Linked DNA regions of Pelodiscus sinensis. The protein of the gene in region 1 interacts with the protein of each later gene in a biochemical or structural test. Links are inferred from orthologs where the notes say so. Each region holds a gene or a part of one and is shown in the gene's direction. Other genes may lie near its edges.

Region 1 (7,980 bases):
GCTTCCCCACCGCACCCGGTCAGTCTCCCCCTTGCTACCTCCCTGCTGCTATTTAACTCAGCAAAGCCTCTGGGAGACGGACAAACGGAAGTTTTACTGTATTGTGAGGGCTGCGAATGCCAGCCTTTTAATGCCTAAACCTGTTAAGAAAAACCACAGCGTTTAGCAATTTGATACTAATCCTTTCCCCTTCTCTAAAGCTGCTTGTCTTTTGAGGATCTCAAAATGTGTTACACCCATTCATGGAACTAATCCTCCTTCTGAGACAGGGCAGGGTCACTACCTACAGTTGTGAGAATAGAGAAACTGAGTCACGGAATGGACTTACCCAGGGTTACCACTGGCATGTAAACTGCTCATAGGAGGACATACACAGTTTCCTTCTACCCCGTGATTTATCTGTAGAGGGGAAGAGCCAGGGAAATGCTTGTCCTCCAACACAACTGCTCCCTTGCAGTCAATATCTCCTCTCTCCTCAGCTGTCTGATTCTGATCTCACCTCAACCCAGGTTCATAGCCCGCTGGGGTCAGAGGGAGCCTTTCCATTACTTCGCTAGACTCTGAATTAGGCCCCGATGCTGTGTTTACACTAGTATGTCTCCTTTAGCCTCAGTAGGATCAGTTCTGATTCAGGGCCTGATCTTGCTGCCTTTAAAGTCAATCAGCGTTTTTGGTGATCTTAGGCTCTATTTGTTAAGGGCATGTCATATTAACCAGCTGAGACTTCCAAAGCAGTCTAAAGGAAATTGTGCCCACGCCCCCATGACAGATCTTTGAGAAATCAATGCTTGCCTAACTCCTATAGGCTCTTTAAATCATTTATTTATCAGCCTTTCTATGGCCATCAGTTGTGTAGTACCTGAGCAGCTCACACACACACACATTAATTTTACCCTCAGTCTTCCTGGCCAGGCCTGACTAGAGTATGTTGGGATCTTGTGCACTGTGGACATTGGAAGCCCTGCAGTGTTCCCTGGAAACTGAGTGCTTGGGCGGCCACCCAGGAGAGATTCAAATGGCACCTAGTTTATTGGCAAGGCGCCTGCAGTCAATGGCGAGTGATTATGATAATGCTGCACTGGTTAATTCAGGCCTGCCTGCTCCCAGGGAATCAGCATTGCTCCCATTTTACAGATGAGGAAATGGGGCACAAAGAGATAAAAAGTTTTGCCCTAAGGCAAAACTTAAGGAAGTCCCTGGGAGATCTAGAAATAGAACCCAGATGCCCTGTGCCTTAGCCACCAGATCATTCTCCCTTTCCTTTGTATGGTCCTCTCTTTCCTCTATGAACTCCAGTTAGTGCCAGCCCACAAACAGCTCCTTACACGATTATAAAATCATGAGTGGTGTGGAGAGGGCCGATAAAGAAAAGTTATTTATTAGTTCCCTAAATAGAAGAACTAGAGGACACCAAATGAAATTAATGGGGAGCAGGTTTAAAACTAATAAAAGAAAGTTCTTCTTCACACAGCGTGTAGTCAACCTGTGGAACTCCTTGCCAGAGGAGGCTGTGAAGGCTAGGACTATAATAGAGTTTAAAGAGAAGCTAGATAATTTCATGGAGGTTAGGTCCATAAAAGGCTATTAGCCACGTGATAGAAATGGTGTCCTTGGCCTCTGTTTGTCAGAGGCTAGAGAGGGATGGCAGGAGACAAATCGCTTGATCATTGTCTTTCGGTCCACCCTCTCTGGGGCACCTGGTGCTGGCCACTGTCGGCAGACAGGATACTGGGCTAGATGGACCTTTGGTCTGACCCAGTACGGCCGTTCTTATGTTCTTATGTTCTTATGATCCAATGGATATCTGAGTGGCAGACACCATCTTGATTGGGAGGAGCTGCCTCTCTTCAAATAAGCCTTGTGGGGGGGTGGGGATGGTTGTTTTTTAACCATACACTAACAAACCTTAGTAAGTTTCCTTCTAAGTGTGTGTGTGTGTGTGTGTGTGTGTGTGTATCTTTAAAGGGATCAGGGACTCTATTGTTGGTGTTTGAATACATCTGGATTTTTCTCTTAGATCTTAATGGATCTAAAACCAGCTGGAATTGCAATTAAATTTGTCAGAAGAGTATTATTCTGTGTTCCATCCCTGTAGCATTTGGGTACCTTCCAAATAAAATAAATTCTCTAGTGAGATCTCTAGAGCACTTCTCTCCTTTTGGGGTCAAATCTCTGCTTGGGACAAAGTCTTTAGTTTTCAAATCCAGAACCCCTTATGATTTGAAAGCAAAAGGACACATGGGTGGGTAGATCTCATGCACACTTCATATTGTCAGGAGGTAACATTCACCATCAGAGTTTCAAACAGGCACCATTGAATTTTGCATTTAAAATAAATTTAAATCAATGCCTTTAGAGATTACTAGTCACACAGTTCAGAATTCTGCCAGTAAACTGTACATTTTTTGCATGAGGGACTGATTATTTTTCATTAATAAATATACAGTACCAAGCATGTTAGGGCCCTGGGCACTGATTAGTACTTTTAGAGCCTATTATTAATTATTTGTATTGCAGTAGCATCTAAGAGAACCAGTCAAGGACCAAGACTGCCTTCTGTAGTACATGAAGTGATATGACAGGTGTTAGTCACATGAAGTTTTTTGCACTCTCTTTTAATACTCTAAACCCAGACGCTTCATTCAACTCCAGACATGAGAATGGAAACCCTGGGCCCAACCCGACTAATTCAAACTGAGGGATGACAGCCCTTTTTAGTGCACTGTACTGCACTTTGCTGCCATCAGTGTCACAGTGAGGACAATATAAGGCAGGGCCTGAAACGTTCAGATGTGTTTGTATATTGGCCTACATAATAGAGGTCTGAGCTTTCCCACAATTATAAATGTTAAAATAATTAAAATGGTTGGACAAAAGTAAGAATGATTTACAAGAGACTGAAATCTCTGGAGTTGAGCCCCAGAAAATGCCAGATCAGATGGTAAGGGAGTGAATCACAGTGGAGAGGGAATTCAAAATCTTAGTATCTATACAAATTCCAAAGGGCATTGTGTTCCCCCAACAGTACATATTGTTGGCCAAATTTCCTCCTATTTTTGTGTCTGCATTTATCTTTCGAATTTAATGTATCTATTTGGCCCTTACCTATTCACTCTTCCCCAATCTGCCTGCACCTGTTGTGTTCTGTTTTATACTTAGATTGTAAGATCTTTGGGGCACAAACTGTATTTTTGCTTTGTGTTTTCACAGCATCCAGCACAGCAAGGTTCTGGTCACCTGGGGCTCCTAGGCAGGGGGGAGGAGGTCCTACATGCAATGGCAATACAAATAATAATTAATTATAGTATTTCTGAACACAGCTTGCATGCAGCCTGGTTTTGTCTGCACGTTACAGTTAAAATGTTGATTCATGAGGGGTGAGGGAAATAATCCTTGTTTCTCTCTTTGGTTTTGAAACTTTTCTTGTATTAGAGCTGGTTGAAAAGGCAGTTAAAAATGGATTTTGATTGTCAAAAAAATTCCATTTTGAATTTCGGCAGTATAATTCTTCGAAAAACCAGATACGTTTCATCCAAAAGGGTTTGTTTATTGAAAACAGATTTGTTAAAAAGTCTTGAACTCGGGGGAATGTCTTCTAGTTCTAGTTTATTTTTGTAACTGCAAGAAACTGAAAGAGTGGAGCAAAAATGGTGCGTGCGAACATGGGTATCTTCTGGTAGGTTCTCCTATAATAAGTAGGGCTGCTTAGGGTCAGGGATTGCATGGCAGACTTGTTAGGAAAATCTTGGTGTTGAAGGAAGTGGTGTTAATGATTCAGTAGAGGGTGCTCTTTCCTGTGAGTCAGTGCACAGCAATGCCTCAAGGGTGGCCCAGAGAGGTCTTTTTGCGTGAGATGTGAAAGGGAGGTCCTGCATTAGTCATGGCCCTTAAAGATCCCAGATTACCTTTTGATTGGACAAATTTAATTTTTCTGACCTAAAAATCCCCCTGCAGTTTCAGCTGAAAATGTGTTTTCCCCCTCTGATTCTTTACTCTGTGTTTATATTGCAGCAGGCTATGTTATAGGTTGTGCTTGGGTTCCATCCATATATGGTCCATTTGTGTTACGCATTTACATTAGGCATATGGTTTGTACTGTGCATGTGTGTGCACATTTTGTTTTACACAATGCATGTGTTTTGTGCATGGTATCTCTATGGCTTGTGTTTGTGCTTTGTGGTTGTGTGAGATGTACATGTTTTACATTTGAAGATGAGTGTTATGCATAACATTTGTGTTTATTTTTATCCCGTATATAGGTTAGGGGCAACTCCGTGTGTTGTGTGTGTGTGTGTTTTGTCATGTGTGTACTTGCCTTGAATTACATACATAGCTCCCCGTCCCAGCCAAGGACCTCTTGGGAAAAAAAGAGGGGAAGTGGAGGACTCCCCTACTAGTCCGCCTGCAGTCCCCTCCTCCAGATTTCCTTGGAAGTGCAAAAGATTGGGAGGGGTTTTCCGAGGGGAAAAAAATTGCAACATCTCCCCCTCCCCCTCGCCGCACGAGAACGATTTTTCTTCCTACATACAGAGGGGGCAGGTATGTTTTGCAACTTTTTTTTTTTTTGTTAATTGCATGGCCCCTGTGTTTGTTGCATGCTCCCCTATGTGCATCCGTCACAAAAAAAACCGGTGAAGAATCAGGACGGGGGGGAAAAGCAGAAACCAAAACCTTCAGAGGGGGGGAAAAAAAAAAAGCCCTCGCCCTCCCGCCCCTTGACTTCCTCGCTGGCAGGTCTGTGAACCCAGCACTTTACTCCTCCCCAGCCTGGCTGCTCAGGGCTTTTCTGTCTGCTGTGCCTTTGCAGAGCGGCTCCGGGCGCAGCGCGGCGCGGGGGGAGGAGCCGCCCGTTCCTGGAAGAGCCCAGCCTGGGGAGTTGGTCACATTCTTGGCTGGGATTCAATGACTGAGGCAGACACCGACAGGCAGGGGAGGGGTGCGGGGGGGAGGAGGGAGCCAGGCTGCATTAGCTCAGCTGCGAGCCGCGCTCAGTCTCTGCCGGGGCGAGGAGCGGGGCGGAGGTGCGCTGCTTGCCTGCAGCTCCCCGCGGCAGCCCACTAGGAGCGAGCCGCGCCGGAAGAACTGAAAGCGAAGGGAACCTGCCCGGGGAGCGACCCCGCGGGGGGAAAGTGGAGGAGCCCCCCCCTGTGCACCCCGCCTGCCGACCCCCCCCCCAGCCGCTCCTGCTCATTTCCTCGGAGCTGCGGACGCGCTGGGAAGGGGCTTTTCCGAAGGAAAGCAGCAAAAAAAAAAAAATTGCAACATTTTTTGGGGGCTGCCCCCCTCCTCTCCTTGCACGAGACCGAGCTTTCCGCCTGCTGCTGCGAGGAGGGGGGGCTATGGACCGCCGGGAGGCCGCTGCAGCACCGCACCAGCCCGCGCGCCTCTGAGCGCCCCCTCCTCCCGGGGGCTGGAGCGTGGCCCGGACTTTCCTAGCGGGGGGGTGGGAGGTTGGGGGCGGCGAGCCCAGCGCGTGCTGCGGGGGCGGCGGGGCGGCGGGCGAGCCCGGGGCAGGGGGCGGGCGGGCGGCACTGGGGCGCGGGGCTCTGCCGGCTGGGCGCTGGTGGCTCCGCCGGGGCGGCGGGCGAGGGGGCCGGGGCGGCGCTCAGCCCACGGGGCTGGCTCCCCTGCTGTAGCGGGCGCGGAGCCGGGGAGGGGGCCCGCCGGGGCGCTTTCCTGCTCGGGGGGCGGGTGGCTTCGGGGGGCCGGGAGGGGCCGCAGGAGCCGAAAGATGGAGACTGTCAGCAGAAGCAGCTTCCAGCCCCATCCCGGACTGCAGAAGACCTTGGAGCAGTTTCACCTGAGCTCCATGAGCTCCCTGGGCGGCCCGGCCGCCTTCTCCGCCCGCTGGGCGCAGGAGATGTACAAGAAGGACCATGGCAAAGATCCCGCGGAGCCTGTCCTCCACCTGCCCCCTATCCAGCCCCCGCCGGTCATGCCGGGCCCCTTCTTCATGCCCTCGGACCGGTCCACGGAGCGGTGCGAGACCATCCTGGAAGGGGAGACCATCTCCTGCTTCGTGGTGGGGGGCGAGAAGCGGCTCTGCCTGCCCCAGATCCTGAACTCGGTGCTCCGGGACTTCTCGCTGCAGCAGATCAACTCCGTGTGCGACGAGCTGCACATCTACTGCTCCCGCTGCACGGCCGACCAGCTGGAGATCCTGAAAGTCATGGGCATCCTGCCCTTCTCGGCCCCGTCCTGCGGCCTCATCACCAAGACAGACGCCGAGCGGCTCTGCAACGCCTTGCTCTACGGGGGCACCTACCCGCCCCACTGCAAGAAGGAGTTCTCCAGCACCCTCGAGCTGGAGCTCACGGAGAAGAGCTTCAAGGTGTACCACGAGTGCTTCGGGAAGTGCAAGGGACTGCTGGTGCCCGAGCTGTACACCAACCCCAGCGCTGCCTGCATCCAGTGCTTGGACTGCAGGCTCATGTACCCGCCTCACAAATTTGTGGTCCACTCTCATAAATCCCTGGAGAACAGGACTTGCCACTGGGGCTTTGACTCGGCTAACTGGAGGGCCTATATCCTTCTCAGCCAGGATTACACCGGGAAAGAGGAGAAAGCCAGGCTGGGCCAGTTCTTGGATGAGATGAAAGAGAAATTCGACTACAGTAACAAATACAAAAGAAAAGCACCCAGGGTAGGTGGCACCTCATTTTTTTGGGGGAGGGGGGAGGAGAAGGGAATTTGCCTACAGTTTCGGGGGTTTCCCGATTAGGTGGCCCCTTTCCCCTTAAAGGCATGCAGCCGTCTAACCATGCTGTGAAATCTGACCCAAGTGGGGTTGCTGTGGAAGAGCGTAGACACTGCACGTTGCTTTCTTATAGATTTAAATAATTGTTCTTCTTGGTGACTTTTAAGTTTGACTTAACATACTTTTTGCTTTGTAATACCTTCTTTGAAACGTACACTAGGGGACCGATCCTATTACCTTTGCTCCCTCCACCTCTCCCCATACTTTCACAGGGAGGTCTGACCAGGCCAGGACTTTGGGACCAGAGCCTGAATGGGAAAGTATGGAAGCTGGGGCAAGGCCCAATAATTAGAACAAAGTGCTCGTTGCAGAAATACACCCTACTTCCTAACGTATTTGTTCCTAAATTGATCAGGTTTGGGAGCAGAGACTAAATGATGGGGACTGGTTACAGGAATAATGCTGACAAAAGGTCAGCAAACTAATAGCCAGCGCCTGGTGTGTGAACGGAGACCGTGCTTGTTGTCAGAATCCTACCCCGAGACTGGCTCTTGTGTATTGGATTTTGTATACATCGAACAAACGTATCTGCAGCAGCCTGTAAGATACACCAGGCGGTGGTGACTTTGCCCCTCCAGACTGCTAAACCACATTTATTTTAGGTGGCTTTTTTTTCCTCAGTCTGAGCAGCCTGAATCCCCAGCATGTGGGTGGCAGGCCATGGTGGCCCCTGGCACCAGTCCTGGTCACTGGGCAGCAATGCCACAGGGCCCTGAGAACTTCCTTGCAGACACCAGGATGTCTGGCTCACCGGTGGTGGTGTAATTGGCTGTGGGATGAGCAGCGTGCTGTCCATTCCTTCCCCCCCCAAACAAACAGTGAAGTCGAGTTAACTCCTTCCCTTGCGTTCTGCTGCGCTTGCTTGGTGGGTGGATTTGGTCTCATTTTATTGAGGGGGGGGGTGTTTAAGGTGCGGTTGTTGTGGGGTGCACAGAGCTAGGAACAGACTCCAGGAGAAGCATTTAAAGCCTATTGTGAGTAGGCAGGGAGATTCTCAGCACTTCCCCAAGGCTTGTTTTAAACACTCACACGCTTTTTAACTTTTCTTTTTTATGAAGTATCCAGGCTTATGAAGTGCTGCGCACACAAAGCTGCACTTAACCCAGCTAGCTTTGGGAGGCCCAATTAATCCAGCTTCTTCCCTCTCTCTTTTCTTTCTTTTTTTTGCCTTCCCTGTTTAAATCAGTGGCTAGACTCCTCTTCCCTCTTGTCCTCCAAATTCC
Region 2 (6,909 bases), on another chromosome or scaffold:
GATGCTAATACAGTTTCCATCTGGTAGATATACCTTTAACATTTAGAGCAAACTACCTGTGTCACTCAGGGATTTGGAAAATTCACACCACCAGTTGCTATAGTTAAGCTGACCCAATGCAAGTGTAGATGTAACTAGGTCAGTGGAAGAATCCTTTTGTGAATCCATACAATCACGTCACCTTGGTGAAGACCTGCCCTTAGTCTTTGAGAAGGAACATGCCAAATTAACTGCGTCTAAAGCAGGGGTGGGCAAAAGGGCCTCCACAGGCTGGATCCGGTCTGCGGAGGCCCTGCTGCTCCCTCGCCCCCAGGTGAATTAGGGTCTTGGGGTGGGGGAGCACCTGAAGCCTTCTCTGCTCTGTCCCTGCCCTGCAAGCAGCACATGGCGATTCAAAGCGCTGCACGCTGCTCGCAGGGCAGAAGCAGAGCAGAGAAGCCTTTGTGTGCTCCCCCCCCTCCGCCCCCAGGCCTTAATTGGCTTGGGTGCGGGGGGAGAGGGGGTGCATGAAGCCTCCTCCCACCCTGCCAGCAGCATGTGGTGCTTTGAAGCGCTGCACGCTGCTCGCGGTGGAGGGAGGAGGCTTCTTGCGCTCCCTGGCCCCCAGGCCAATCAGGGCCTGGGGAACCGTGTGAAGCTTCCTTTCCCCTGCCCTGGCCCTAACAGGAGCCCACGGCACCTTGCAGGGTGAGAGGAGGCTTACCTGCGCTCCCTTGCCCCCAGGCCCTGATTGGCCTCGGGGTGGGGCAGCATGCCAAGCCTCTTCCAGGACATGGGAGCATAGTGGGAAGGGGGGGCAAAGGGGCTCCCTGACCCCCCAGACCAATTTTGGTCTGGGGGTGGGTAGACCCAGCCCTTCCTGTTTAAGCTCTGCCCCTTCTGGGGGCCCGGGGCTACTTCAAAAATTTTTGAAGTGGCCCCTGGGCAAAAATTATTGCCCACACCTGGGCTGTGTCTAGACTGGCCAGTTTTTCCGAAAAATCAGCCGCTTTTCCGGAAAAACTTGCCAGCTGTCTACACTGGCCGCTTGAATTTCCGCAAAAGCACTGACTTCCTACTGTAAGAAATCAGTGTTTTCTGCGGAAATACTATGCTACTCCCGTTCGGGCAAAAGTCCCTTTTGCGCAAAACTTTTGCACAAAAGGGCCAGTGTAGACAGCTGAGATTTGTTTTGTGCAAAAAAGCCCCAATCATGAAAATGGCGATCGGGGCTTTTTTGCGCAAAAGCTCATCTAGATTGGCCACGGACGCTTTTCTGCAAAAAAGTGCTTTTGTGGAAAAGTGTCCGTGCCAATCCAGACGCTCTTTTCTAAAAATGCTTTTAACGAAAAACTTTTCCGTTAAAAGCATTTCAGGAAAAGCATGCCAGTCTAGATGTAGCCCTGGTGTAGAGCTTCAGAGGAATAGCCTAGTTAGTCTGTAATTGGAAAAACTTAAAAAACAACAAATAGCCTAGTAGCACCATAAAGACTAATAAACCATAGATGGTATCATGCGCTTTCGTGGGCACAACCCACTTCCTCAGATGAACAACTTCTAGTATGGCTCTGCATGACATTCAAGCAGTTGCATCACGTATAGAAGTTTGTGACACTGACATTGCTTTGTAAAAGAGCTGGTTCTTTACCTCAAATAGTAGAGACTCTTTATATCTCTACATACCAAGTTCATCCTCACATATGACCCATACAGGGATGTTTCTACATTTTAGCTATGCTGTTTGTAATCATTAGATCACAATCTGCTCCCAGTGCCAGGAATGGAAACAGTAACAGCATGCTTTCCTTCCACCCCCAAGTCAGTTCCTCCCAGAGCTGAAATAGCAGACTCTGTGGGGGATCTATAGGTGTGAATTTAAATGCCAAACACATGATTAGAGATTAAATGCCAAACACATCATTAGGGCAAATTTGTTTCCTGTCCAAATATATTTTTGAACTTTCAAGTTTTCCCATTCTGCACTGGGACAAAACTGAAATTTTGATGTATAAAAATATACGTTAGACAGAGAACCCAAAGTATTCACTAGCATAATGGTTATGGCCCTCATCTCATAAAACCAAGGTTGACATCTCTGATTTATGGATTTACCTGAGATATCCAAGATCTGAGTGCAGGTGCCTTAATCTCCTGGCTATTAGCTATTCAGGGGTGGGTCTGTTTCAGTCTCTTCTGTTTGAGCTGTTCCAGTTTGTACAAGCAATTACATATTGAGGATGTAGCCAGAGCAATTGACTTTATAGCCTCATGGTGAGGGTACTCCCATAAGTGTAGGAGAATTAGGTTCCCTCCACTGGTTCAATGAATAGTAGTAGTCACTGTGGATTATCGTACTATGATCTCACTTTGGTTGTTTGATTGGCATGCTGGTATTGGTGGCTTATGCTATACAGGAGCGGGCCTTGACTTTAATATTTAGCTTTTGTAGTTGGTTAATGAGAGCTCTCTTTAAGAGCAGGGTGTACCAGACTTTGAGAGCAGTCTGTGGGAGACTTTGCCTGTTTGTCCAGCGTCAGACCCTCCCTGTGTATGCAAGCTTACAAAAGGTCAAAATTTAAATTAATACATTTATCTTTCAAGACAGAAAGGTTCATTCATGAAGGCATTGCATTTGGGTTTATGGGGGGAGAGACCATACACATTCAGGCATTATTAATTAGTTGTAGAGCCTTTCACCTGTAGCTTCCTAATGTAAATCTTGTCCAACATACATTATATTATTTAATGTAATTTAATCCAGATTCAGAAAGGGGTGCACTCCCTTCTGGATACCAAGAATAGCCACGATTATCCTACTCAGAGGGTTAACCGTGTTAGTCGTTTTTCAAGATTATCATATTTAATGACAAATACAGGGATGTTAAACCTCACGTTGTGGGGGCTGTACCAGTCTTAAATGGAGAGTAGGATGAGGAAGAGGGCAGATTATTGCACTCTGCCAAGAGTGGGAGATTTACACCTCCAGCATCTGGCTGCGTGCAGCAGCAGAGACGAGATGGATCGGGCATTGCAATGCCCGCGCTCCGAGGTGGTCCCTAGCTGAGTGGAGTTGGCTGAATCCTGATTCCCTCTCCTGCAGGGCGCTTGTATGTCCCTGTGGGACCGCCCGTGGGTGATGCATTTGCACGCTCGCCACCTCGCGGGGCGCTGGATGGGACGCTGGAGGGCTGCCTGCGGAGGGGCCATGTAGCTGCCAGCGTGGTGGGCTCCCGGAGCGAGGGCAGGGGCCACGAGGATGGGCACTTGCCACAGGTCTGTGAGGTGCTGTGGCCCTGGTACCACAGGTGTGTGTGGAGGGGGGGGGGGGGGAGATTGTAAAGCAGATGAGAGCCCCCCCCCACTGCACTGAATCTGGGGGGGTGCTTGGGGGAGGCTTTTAACCCGTGCATGGTCCCTCATTTAACCCTTGGCCGGGTCATGCTGCAGGGGGAGGCGTGTGGGATGGGAGGTGGTTGGACTAGTGACGGGGAAGGACGGGACTATTTCTCGCTGCTGGAATCCGCTGCCGCGCGGAAGGCGACTACTTTCTTAAGCGAACTCAGCGGCCGCTTGGCGGAAGGATCGGCGCTCTCCCCCCTGCCTTTTTTTTTTTTTTTTTTTTTTATTCGCTCGCCTTCCTGCGCCACCTCCCCCGGCGGGGAGCGACACAAGTGTCGGCCAATCAGCGAGTGCCGTGGCCCTCGCGCGGATCACGCTCTCCGTCGCGAGGACTCCACCACGGCGTTTCTCGCCGATTGGGTGGCAGGCGCGCCAATCGCTTGGCTGGGCGGGACGTAGCCTTCGTTTAGCCATTCGCCGCCCGCTCTCCTCACAACTGACCCAAGGCAGAGCCAATCAGGGGGGGGCTTGCGGCGTGCGCCGCCTCGCCTTCGTTAACCAATGGCGGGCGGAGTGGGCGGCGGCAAAGAGGAAGCCAGCGAGAGGGAGAGGAGGAGGAGGTGGTAGCGGCGTAGCTAGGCGAAGAGGTTGGTCTCTGGGCGGCTTTGGCATCGGCCGGGCCGGGGTGGCCAGTCCCGGCGGGTGCTGCCTGTGTGTGGGGGGAGGGATACGCGCCGGCCTAGGCAGCGCCCCCCCCCCCTTTGTTGTGGGAGGCGGTGGCTGTGGGGGAGGCTCGCGTGAGGGGGGGCGAGGTTTGGGGCGGAGGCTCAGGCCGGCGGGGAGTGGGGGGTTGGTGCTGGGCCCGAGTCTCTCTCGCCTCTTCCCTAGTGGGGGTGAGCGGCCGGGTCAGGGCTGCTCACCCTCCCGGCTTGGTCGGGAGTCTCCCGGAATCAGCACCAGTCTCCCGGGGACGGGGGGGAAAGCGACCCTGGAGGCTGTGATGGGGCGTTCCACGGCAGTGGCGTGACATCCCCTTTTTGGGGGTGCGGGGGGGGGGGTCGCCTGGAATAGCTTCAGTGGGGTTGGCAGTCCTAGGCCGGGCCCTGCTCTCAGGATATAAATAGGAGGGGTGGCTGGGTGGGCCCGTGGCAGCTTCTCTCTGGGGACCGATGGTGTGGGGTTAGAGGTGGGCGTATTACTACTTCGCTGCCCACCCCACCCTCCTTTGGAAAAACTCGATCTTAGACTTTCCCGAAGAGCTTCACACAGATTAAAAGTGGAAAACTACTGCCTGAGAGAGAGCCAGTATTGTCTAAAATTGTGAGCTGAAAATAGGGGGAGGGAAAGTGATTCAGCCTTAACTTCAGTGAGTGTTCCTAGGGGGTTAACCCTCCCTCACCTGTTGGCAGCCAGTGACTGCTCATCCTCTTCATTCTCCTGTAACTGAACTGTATGGATGTAAGCAAGCATCATACCCAGTGGGTGCTATAATTGATGCACTGTAATGACTGCAAATAGCGATTGTTTTAGCAATTTTGCAAAACTTTCACTTGTAGTGCTGTGTGTAGCATATGTGTGAGGAAAAACAGCTGAGTGAATTCATTAGTTCATAGTCTGTAGGACGGTTGTTTGAGATCCAGTTTCAAATGTAGAATACCTTGTTTTCAGTTCATGTTGGCTTGTGAAGCAGGAGAGTACCATGGTTGTAGCTTTTAGAAAAGAGTTTTTAACAGTTAAGAGCTGCTTTTAACTGCAGCCAAATTCTGTTTCTGTTCTGTGGATGACTGGAAACTCTTAAACTCCCCTCAGTGAGTGCTGAGATGTACATATCACTCATGCAATTTATTTCAGATTATAGTAAGCAGTTCCTGAGTATACAAATAATGATGATATATTTTGTATCAAAAAGCTTACAGTAAGATAAGCCAGTTAGATTTTTGCATTTGTTTAGTGTATCTTTAAAATCTTAAACTTCTGCCTTCTTAACAAAATAGGCTGCAGTGAGGACAGCTTGATTATACTGCCAACTGTTTAAAATTGACAGACTGTTAATTGTGGGGTGGTTATAGTAGCAAATTTAGCAAAATGCACGTTTTTTTGCTTTGCATGTGTAAAGTAAAAATGAGAAACTTTCCATCCAATAAGATTCCAGTTTGTAATGATTTGTAGGCTTTCCTTCACATATTTTTGTTTCTCCTCTCAAGTTGTATTTAGCTCTTTAGCTTTTCAGTGTATCTTAACATGTTACTTTCACAAAATTATCTGCCTTTAAGTATCAAGGGAGGTAAAAAAATCAGTTGGAGACATTACTCTGCTTATCTTAAACTGTGAAGCTTGCTATCTTGGTGTTAACTTCATCATGAGGTTACCTCCAGTGGCTCTGCAATTTAAAAATGCAGTGGGGTCAGGGGATAGGCTGCCTGGCTCTTACTGCCTTTTAAAGTTGCAGTGGGGTTTGGTCCTAGTGAGAGCCTGGACTGAGCGGGGCTGCCTTTTCCTGGCTGGCTTCTACTTAATTCGGCAGGCAACCCTGCTTAGTCGCTGCTAGTCCAGGATCTGGGAGTAACCCGCTGCGGATGTCAATGGTTAACTGGTGGACATCACACTTATTGGGCGATGCTTATCAGTTACCAGTTAACCAGTGGCCCAGCAAGGCCAGAGCAGCTCCTGCCTGTCCAGAGCAGCCCGTTTAAGTGATTAACCAGTTAAATGGTATGTTTAACTGATTAAATGCTGTTTTACATCCCTACTTGGAAGTGCAGATCAAAAATGGTGTGCTGAAATTTAAACTGAGTTGTCTTGTCCTCTCTATCAAGAATTAAAGATGTTGTATGTCAAATTTATAGTAGGAATAATCAATTCTAGCAAAGTTTATAAGGTCATAGGGTAATTGAAAAGCTTACATTTGTAAGAGTTCAGTTCTGTCTAAATTGACGTCTTTCTTTTCTTTCTAACTCCAACCTCCCCAACACCCGCTTTGTTGATTTAATTTGCTCATACAAAGAGAATTTCCAAAGTAAAGGCCCTGCTGGATCTTTTTCAATCCTCTTATGTCAGCTCGATCTTTCCAAAGTGCTGAGCACCTGTAGTTACCATTGAATTTAATTGGAGCTTACAAATGTTCAGTATTGCTGAAAGTTTGAGAGATGTAAACTTTTCTCATCTCTTATCAAAAGAAAGGCTTGAACAAACCTTGCAACATGTCTGAAGGGTGATGAGTTTGAGCGCTGTACCAGAGGGAGAAGAGATTTCCAAATTCTTTCTAAAAACAGTGCAGGATAAAACTTGAGTTATTGTACAAATATTTTAGGTTTTCAGATGTATTAACACTGTCTTAATGGGCTGTATATGTAAATTCTCTAATTGAAAGCATCCATTTATAGGACTGAGTTGCTAAGTGAGTTGTAAATTCTGCTTTTCTGATTGGATGTAATGACTTGTCAACTGTGCTTAGAGGCAAACAATACCTAAGCTTACTTTGCCAAAATATTTGTAACTGTTAATTTGTTAAACAGAATTGCTGCAGGTCATGTGATGGGATTAGCGTGTGGTGGTGGGTTTTTTTTTTTCAGTAGTACCAAGAGTACAGAC

The links.
Region 2: the proteins of SKI (region 1) and SMAD2 form a complex in vitro, tested with the Homo sapiens proteins (4 studies listed by BioGRID). The link is inferred for Pelodiscus sinensis from reciprocal best matches to the Homo sapiens genes SKI and SMAD2.

Annotation. Positions count from the first base shown.
Region 1 is NC_134733.1:19,049,913-19,057,892, forward strand, and holds the start of SKI (ski oncogene), read left to right. Parts: upstream 1-4,969; 5' UTR 4,970-5,731; coding exon 5,732-6,643; intron 6,644-7,980. UniProt on the Homo sapiens protein: May play a role in terminal differentiation of skeletal muscle cells but not in the determination of cells to the myogenic lineage. Functions as a repressor of TGF-beta signaling.
Region 2 is NC_134716.1:117,161,605-117,168,513, forward strand, and holds the start of SMAD2 (mothers against decapentaplegic homolog 2), read left to right. Parts: upstream 1-3,898; 5' UTR 3,899-3,965; intron 3,966-6,909. UniProt on the Homo sapiens protein: Receptor-regulated SMAD (R-SMAD) that is an intracellular signal transducer and transcriptional modulator activated by TGF-beta (transforming growth factor) and activin type 1 receptor kinases.